Coturnix japonica: one gene and its partner. Each later gene encodes a partner of the first gene's protein in a complex. Links are inferred from orthologs where the notes say so. Each region holds a gene or a part of one and is shown on either strand. Other genes may lie near its edges. The genes, in order: EIF3J and EIF3F.

The links.
Region 2: EIF3J (region 1) and EIF3F share a complex: the UniProt entries of both Homo sapiens proteins name them as parts of the eukaryotic translation initiation factor 3 (eIF-3) complex. The link is inferred for Coturnix japonica from reciprocal best matches to the Homo sapiens genes EIF3J and EIF3F.

What each region holds. Positions count from the first base shown.
Region 1 is NC_029525.1:17,935,967-17,940,385, reverse strand, and holds the start of EIF3J (eukaryotic translation initiation factor 3 subunit J), read left to right. Parts: upstream 1-1,581; 5' UTR 1,582-1,596; coding exon 1,597-1,750; intron 1,751-1,858; coding exon 1,859-1,959; intron 1,960-4,419. UniProt on the Homo sapiens protein: Component of the eukaryotic translation initiation factor 3 (eIF-3) complex, which is required for several steps in the initiation of protein synthesis.
Region 2 is NC_029521.1:13,754,674-13,759,016, reverse strand, and holds the start of EIF3F (eukaryotic translation initiation factor 3 subunit F), read left to right. Parts: upstream 1-1,318; 5' UTR 1,319-1,340; coding exon 1,341-1,614; intron 1,615-1,724; coding exon 1,725-1,795; intron 1,796-1,871; coding exon 1,872-1,951; intron 1,952-2,891; coding exon 2,892-3,029; intron 3,030-4,090; coding exon 4,091-4,182; intron 4,183-4,343. UniProt on the Homo sapiens protein: Component of the eukaryotic translation initiation factor 3 (eIF-3) complex, which is required for several steps in the initiation of protein synthesis.

The DNA of each region.
Region 1 (4,419 bases):
TTAAGCAGAGCACTAAACGTGTTGTTCAAATAACCAGACGTGGAAGTGCAGAGCCACGTTCCTCCGTTTGTTTTTTTTCCTTCTGGTTCTGACTTCCTTATAGCACTGCATTGCGAATCATTACCTTTATTCTCTGTCTAATCAGCCTGAATCAGCCAGCACCTGTTAGTGTAGGCATTAAGGTAGATGATGGCACTTGGAACTTCACAAAAGAACCGAGGAAGGCCCCATTAGTGTTGGGGTGTCCGAACTGCGGCTGCAGGATTCCCTGTGTTGTTCCATTCTTCTGAATGGGGGGCTGGATCAGCACTGAACACACTGGGGAACTAGGAGAGTTATCTGTGCCTTCTCTGTCTCCTCTCCATCCTGTGCTCCCATTGCCTTCCATGTTAAGGACTTGGAGAGCACACCTTTACAAAGCTAAAGTTCCAGTGTCAAATGAATGTTTGCACAGTTGCAATGAATCCGGTACGTCTGGCCAGATGGAATGGGTTTCAGGAAGTCGAGGCCAAAAAGTAAACGCTCACAACATGTTGTCATTGAAAGAAAAGACCAGGCAGCTCCTGGTGCGATATCAGCGCGGCTGTTAGGTTTGTTCCAATAAGTGCAACGAGAAACTGATTGCTATGACATGAAAATAACGTCTTCCGCTGTAAGTAGAGTTTCAAGTCAAGTGTGGGTTATTTTGATGGGGAAAGGACTTGGGTCTGCGCAGCAAAGCAGGCACGTGGCTCAGCCAACTCCATGGAGCTTCTGTATCATTATCAGCACCTGAGACAGGTGGAATCGAACGATGAGAGTCAGGCTGTGCTCTAAGGGCTGAGCCACCGCGTCGCTGCAGATCCGCACCTTGGGTTGTGGGTGCTTAAAGAGAATGGTTCACAAGTTGCTAAATGGCTGATGAGAAGTAGCATAGGTGCGTTGTTTTCTTAGCTAGTTGTCATTATTTTGTACAAAAAGATCTATATAAATTAATAAAAAAAAAAAGCAACTTCTTTGTTTGGAAGCAAGGAAGGCTCGGCAAGGATTGCCTTGTACAGGTTCTGTTACGCACATCACTATTTGGGTTGTCTTGACTGTGTAATGTAATACTGTTTTGCTTTATTTTTTTTATACTTGCAAAGATGTCATTGTACCGATAGGCTGAACCTTGTAAAATACAAATGGGAGAGAACCAACGTCCTACAGAGCTGTGGTTTTTTTCTGCTGTGGTTTCAGGATATCGAATCCTACAGATTTCTATTAAATATTTATACTCCGGTTGACGCTGTGATGGTCTGTAGCTCTGAGCCCTGCCAGCTCCACTGTGCAGCCCAGGGGCTGCCCGGCCCAACGCCGGCACTTCCAGCCGCCTCAGCTGCGTTTCTGCCCCGTGTTCCTGAGGTGATCCCCGTCCTACCCAGCACCGAACCGCCCACCCGAGCACAGCGGGCCGGGACAGCCCCGGCACGGCCCGTCCAGCCCCGGCACGGCCCGTCCAGCCCCGGCACGGCCCGTTGTACCGCACGGCGCCCGGCCCGGCCCCGCCCCGCCGGGGGGAGCGGCCTGTCAGCCCTCCCAAGATGGCGGCGGTGCCGTCACCTCACCCCTCCCAAGATGGCGGCTCGGCCCCACCTCATCCCTCCCAAGATGGCGGCCGCAGGGGCGGGCCGTGCTCCCATGGTGCCCCGCGCGCCGTGCGCTGAGCTGCGGCTGAGTCAGCTCGCGCCGCGCTCCCGCGGCAAGATGGCGGCCGAGGCGGATTCCTGGGGTAGGTGTCGGCCTGGACCCGGTCCATCCGTTCCATCCGTTCCATCCGTTCGGTCCGTCCGGTCCTCGCTCCGCTCACCCGCTGTCCTTTCTGCTTCCCCCCACACAGACGCCGACACCTTCGAGGTGGTGGAGCCGGTGGCGAAGCGGTTGGTGCCGGGGGTGGCCGGAGATCGCTGGGCCGGAGAGGACGAGGACGACGACGTGAAGGTGCGTCGGGCCGGGACACTCAGCGCCGGGTCGGGCCGCTCCGATCGGATCCGGGCCGTGATGCGCTGTTGGCCGTCGGGTGTTGTTCGCTGTGGGGCCCGGGAGCCGACACGGCCCGAACGCGGCTCCTGGCGCGGTCCGGTACCGCTGGGCCACGGGGAGCGGAGTCGGGCCGGGAGCGGGTACGGGGAGCCGGGCGGGGAGGAGCCGGAGCTGCGGGGGGTGTCACGGTGCTGCCAGAACCGAGCGGGGCTGCAGGGCGGGATGGCGGCCACGGGCTGACGGAGCAGCGCTGGGATGGGGGGTTTGAGGCGCTGCAGCACGTGGAGGCGGGAGGATGGAGCCGGGCTGCGATACAGCGAGTGACTGAGCTACAGCGAGTGACTGAACTACAGCGAGTGAATGCACTACAGCGAGGGGCTGCATTACAACGAGGGGCTGCATTACAGCGAGTCTCCTGCCGCCTGGCCCCGCTGTGCTCCCAGCACGGAGCTCTGTGTGCACAGCAGCCGGGCAGCACGTGTGGGTGGGATCGGGATGGAAGGAGCCGAAGCTCACAGCAGCGTTTTGTGGCCGGTCCAGCTGCTGTCGGGGCTGTGACACGCAGCGGTGCAGCTCGGGGTGTCGCCTGGTCGCCACGTTGTGGTCGCTGGGTGAAGCCCTGCACGGTGCTGGGTGAGGGCTCAGTGCTCGGCTGGGTCGGGCTGTGCCGCTGTTTGGAGGATATTGGAACCACCAGCACCATTGGAGCTTAGGGTGGAATTCCTTCTGTGGGCAGTGTGAGAGCGTTCCCTTTATAAAGAGATACTTGTGTGAGTTAGGAGCTGTCTGTTCTGCTTCTGAAGCACAGTGACACCACACCCTGTGGTTATCACTGCTGTGGCATTACAGCACACAAGGTGAGTGGGGGTATCTCTGTGAGCAGCGTGGTTACAGCGTCACTGGATGCACGTATGTGACACTGGCTGCAGTGTGTGCGTACCTGTGTGTGTTTATATAGAACACATACAGAGCGCTGGTGAAGTTTGCTTTTCTGCCTTCCTTTGGAAGTGAGGAACCTTCCTGGTATCCAGCGTGTCCAGGAGAACTGCTCTGTGGGGTGGTGCTCATAGGGACAGCTCTGCTGTCATAAAGGAGCAGCTCCCCGTGTGCAGCAGTTTGGCTTCCTCCCCCTTTCTCGGGGTCACACTATTAGTACCAGAGCTGCACCTGGAGCTGAGGGCTGGATGGCAGATAGGAGTGTTTCATTTCCATTTGCTCGTTGTTTAAATGCTGGAGATCTCAGGGCTGAGCCTGGGAGGTGGATACTGGAGCTCCTTGTTTGCCAGGGTCAGCCTTGGAGTATGGATATAAGGGAAAGATGTGAGCGCGGTGTTTTGCGTGTTCATGTTCTTGCTTTGTTTCCTACATACTCGGATCCTGTAGTTTGTTTTGCAGTTGTTTTGATCTTAAAGTAACCCCAGAGTTCAGGAAACATTGACTTCCCCGGGTTTCAGATCATCATCTTCATTGGTAACGCAGCTGCTCTCAGCTGTTACCGGGCACAGCTTGCCCAGCAGACAGGCCTGGTGCCAACAGGGTTCGCTCTATTTATCCCTGGGCAGCTCTTGGTTGGAGGCTGTGCCCTGGCTCAGTGTCAGTGCTGGAGGAGGAGAGATGGGGCTCAGCTCCTGCTCCAGCTGCAGCGGTGGGAGCAGCTGCTGCACACTCACCCCTTGCACACTCACCCCTTGCACACTCACCCCTGCTCACTCACTCCTGCAGTGCTGACAGGTGCTTGGAGCAGCTTTGGGGCGGGTTGTTCCCATCTGAAGGCAGCAGTTGTTGGAGGAGGCGGTCGCTTCCTGCAGCCCCGTTGGTACTCGCTGCCCTCCTGCTCTGTGTGCTCGATCTAAACCCCTCCGTGCAGGCTGGGCACCGAGCACAGCAGTGCTGAGAATGGCTGTTTAAGAAATGGGTGTAACAGGTTTAATTAGATACGAGCTGAATGAGCGCTGCTGCAGATTCAAGTCAGCCTCCTGGAATGTGGATGGAAGCCGGCTCTGCCACAGGTGCGGGTTGGCCCAGGGGAGCTGTGGGGATGCGCTGTGACGCCGCGTTCCTCCTCCGGGTAAATGGCTGCTCTGAGTGCTCACGTTTCTGCTCTGAGGCCCAGCTGGGGATTGTGGTTGTAAAGCTCACCCATAACGTGTGCATGGCCTGCGTGGCTTCTGTGCAGACCAGGCCCTGCCAAAGGTGAGCTCTTAAGCTTACAGGTTCCACTCGTGCTGGTAACTCAAAGTAGATTCCTGGGCCATTTCTTGGCTTTAACTTGTGGTGCCACATGTACCTTCAGGGCTGTGACAAAGCGCTGATCTGTACACAGAGGGCATCAGTGGGACCTGGAGGGGCACCAGGGGAAGAACACGTGTCCATTAATGATACCCAGCTAATTGTTGGGAGGGGGCTGCACAGCTGACG
Region 2 (4,343 bases), on another chromosome or scaffold:
AGCTTTAACATCAGCAGCTCCCCATGTCAAACAGGATCTCTAATAATTAAAGTAGCCCCATAAAACATTGCAAAAAAAGTGAGGAACGGTTTGAATTCCTTCTGCTAATATGAAGACATATCAACCAATGCATTATACTAGAAATTAGGCTGCCAACAATAGCCGTTCATCTACTAGCAACCACAAGTGAACAGGAAGCAGAGGAGTATCCAAAACACTCCATTGAGGCTGAATAAGGAAACTACCACTTAGTTTTAATTTAAAACCCAGAAGCCACTGACCATCACTACTTCATACTAAAGCCCCAGAGAAATCCTAGTAGCAATTGGATGGACCAGTATGATAGAAAAAGCATTACAAAAGAGATGCAATGATAAAAGGACCAACACAGTAGAAAGGTGCTATAAAGTAAGAGAAGATTGCTCACCTGTATCAGAAAATTCTAGGTTTGCAGCATAAAGCTTCACTAAGGAGAGATCTCCAGGAAAAAACCCTTTACTAGCAGCAGTCAGCCCTTAAATAAGGTCTAAGAGAGGTGCAGGCAGGCTGCATCCCCTCCAGGCACACAGCTGAATTGCCTTCACCTGTGCTCCCAGGGCTGACCAGTCCTTTCCCCAGCTGTTCAATCAGTGGTTCAGGCCGTGACTCAACACTTACCATACAGTCCTGAAAAACACAGATAACCAACAGCCAGCCAAAGCATTGGCAATATGACCATGAGAAATGGCAGAGAGGGAGTTCCATGAACACAGTGAGAGCTGGAGACACAGACCTGATGTTCCAAGCAGGAAAAGAGACTTCCATTCTTTGATACCAACAGATTCAGAAAATCAGTCTTGCTATTCTTTTTCCTAATTATGCTTATCTACATGAAATGCATATTTTATTTTACCTGTAATTCAATGCAATATTTTTAATGTACTCTAAGGGGTTTTTCGCCTCTCAACAAGAAATTATGTTTATTCCCATTGCACAAGCAAGATGAGACGATAGCTACTGATATAGAAATTATATATCAGCTGTGAAGATGCAGCCGACATAACAGCACATGCAAAAGTAATGGCTCAGTGACGTGTAAGGGCTGTAAAAAGAAATCACACCAGAGAATCACAGAATTGTAGGGGTTGGAAGGGACCTCTAGAGATCATCGAGTCCAACCCCCTGCCAAAGCAGGCTCCTACACCACGTCACACAGGTAGCACAGCTCTGCCTTTGGCAGACAGGAGCTCAGCGCTGCGCCAGCCCATGAGGGGGCGGATGCTCACGGAAGTGGCGTATGTGACAGGCGTTCCGATCAGCCAATTGTCGTGGCCGAGGTCTCTCCCCTTTCTCTTCGCAAAATGGCGGCTCCTGCTCCCGCTGTGGCTCCGGTCCCTCCCGCTGCCGCCCCGGCTCCCAGCCCCACGGCTGCTCCCACTACACCCACGGCGGCCGCGCCCCCTCCGCCCTCAGCCCCGGCGGCACCGCCGCCCTCCGCCCCGCTGTCCGCCGCGCTCTCGGGTCCTTTCCCCGGCGGCCGCGTGGTGCGGCTGCACCCGGTGGTGCTGGCCTCCATCGTGGACAGCTTCGAGCGGCGCAACGAGGGCGCGGCGCGGGTCATCGGGACCCTGCTGGGTAAGAGCCGCAATGCCGCAGCCCCCACTGATACCGCCCCACTGATACCGCCCCACTGATACCGCCCCACTAAGACCAATACCGCCCCACTAACCGCTGTCGTCCCGCAGGCACCGTGGACAAGCACTCGGTGGAGGTCACCAACTGCTTCTCCGTCCCGCACAACGAGTCCGAGGATGAGGTACGGTGTGGGGGCTATGGGGGATGTGCCATCGGGGCTCCTGCACCCGCTGACTCGGCTCTGTCCCCTTCCCCAGGTGGCTGTTGATATGGAGTTTGCCAAAAACATGTACGAGCTGCACAAAAAGGTGTCTCCCAGTGAGATCATCCTGGGCTGGTGAGTTCTATGGCCACAGGGAAGTGCGGGCAGTTGTGCAGGTCCCTCAGATACCTCAGATCTGTCATTGCTGTCAGAGGCTGGAAAGCAGAAGCAGCAGTGAAGTCGTGCCATCACTCAGGATAGGAAAGGATGCTGTCGCAGACTTAGAGCGTTTTTGGTTAGTCTAGAAGAGCTGTCACAGACAGGAGGGTTGGGAATGCTCATGGATCTATTAGAATGCAGTGATACAGTCTGTAAGGTAACTAGCTGGAGGGAGAACACAAAAGTACCAAAGGGCTGGTGGGAAACGGTGATGTTAGCCTGAACACAAGGGTGTTCTCTGAGTAAAGGTGGAAATACCTGTGATGGGGTGTTACAGGAAAAGAACTCGTTTGTGCACGGATAACTGGCCTCGTTTGTCTATTGACATCCTCTCTGGCCCCTTTCTATGGAACAAAATCCTACAAGCGCAGAACTCTTGGCTTCCTCAACAACCCATCATGGCACAGCAAGGTGCAGTTCTCATGGCAGTCGCTTTCCTGTGCATGCAAGAAGTTAATTGCGGAGCAATTGAAGGAGCGAGATGAACAAGCCCTGCCTCCTGCACAGGGGTGTTTAATTTGTTTAAGATTTACTTTGCTGGTCCAAATTTGCTTGGCATGCTTTGATTTATAAGGAAATAAAGATTTGGCCCAGAGCATAGTGACAAAAAACTGACTCTTTTTGATGGTAATACAACACTGACCCTGTGCATGTTTTGGGCATGTGTGCACTCAGCCTATAATTCTAGGAGAGCCATAAAACTACACATGACCTAGTTATAATACTAGTCTTTACTATGTGTCTGCAACTCAGTGCTTGGACATCAGGGTTTTAGAATACAGACCTGTTAAATACCAACAAATACTGGGCATTTGAACATTAGAAGAGTGGTCTTTCAACATTTGCTTTTTCCAAGGTACGCAACAGGTCACGACATCACAGAACATTCTGTCCTGATCCACGAGTACTACAGCCGGGAAGCACACAATCCAATCCACCTCACTGTGGACACAAGTCTCCAGAACTCACGCATGAGCATTAAAGCCTATGTCAGGTACATGGGGACAGGAACTGTCTGAATTACTAACAGATATTGTATCAGGATGGCACCTACAGCTTGATAGTGTTGCTTAGAGCCCTATCCAGCCTCGAATGCCTACGGGAATGGGGCATCCACCACATGTCTGGGCAACCTGTGCCAGTGCCTCACCACCCCTATTTTAAAAATGTTCTCTTTTTGTCCAATGTAAATCTCCCCTCTTTTAGTTTGAAACCATTTCCCCTTGTCCTATCACAACAGACTCTGCTGAAGAGTCTGCCCCCCTTCCTTCATATAGCTTCCCCTTTAGATATTGAAAGGACACACTCAGGTCACCTCACACCATTCTCCAGGCTACACAGCCCCAGCTCTCAGCCTGTCCACGTAGCAGAGTTGTTTCATCCCTGGGATCCTATTTGTGGCCCTCCTCTGGATGCACTCTAATAGGTCCATGTTTCTCCTGTGCTGAGGACTCTGCATCTGGATGCAGTACTCCAGGTGAGGCCTCACCAGAGCAGAGGGGCAAGATCACATCCCACTCCCCGCTGGCCACGTTTCAGGATACAGTTGGCTCTCTGGGCTGCAAAGCATGTTGCTGGCTTGTGTCCAGCTTAACATCCATGAGTTCCCCCAGGTCCTTTTTGGCAGGGCTGTGCTCCATCCTTACATCCCCCAGGTTATACTGATAGCAGGGGTTATCACGACCCAGGTGCACTTGGATTTATCAAACCTCATGAGGTTTACCTGGGCACACTGCTTGAGTCTGCCTAGGTCTCTTCAAATGGCATTTTATCCCTCAGACATGTCAGCTTCACCAAGAAGACAGTACTGAACTCATCATGCGCTTGTACTGATAAATGTCAGACCAGCTAGGAATATTTTTGGATGAAAATTTGCAGTTAATAATATACCTGTATTGATTTCCTGTCCTTGGTTATACATGGTATTAATATTGCTGATTTTACTGACAGTGAGTAACCTATTCGTGTTCACACTGTAGTGCTAATAAAGATCATTGAGATGGAAAATTATTTCCTTTCAGATGTGTCCATGCTGAATTTATGTGTTTTTCCTAGTGCCCCAATGGGAGTCCCTGGTAAAACTATGGGCGTGATGTTCACACCACTGACAGTGAAGTATGTTTATTACGACACAGAGCGGATAGGAGGTGAATGCTTTATTCCTATTTTGGGTCTAACCATTGTCGTGATACTGTTCAAATGCTGTTTGGTTATTAAGCCTGGTAAAATTACCACTCTGGGGGGGAATTAAACTGTCTCACTGAACCTGATGCTATCCTAGAGAGTATTGAACAAGTTAAAGTTTTAA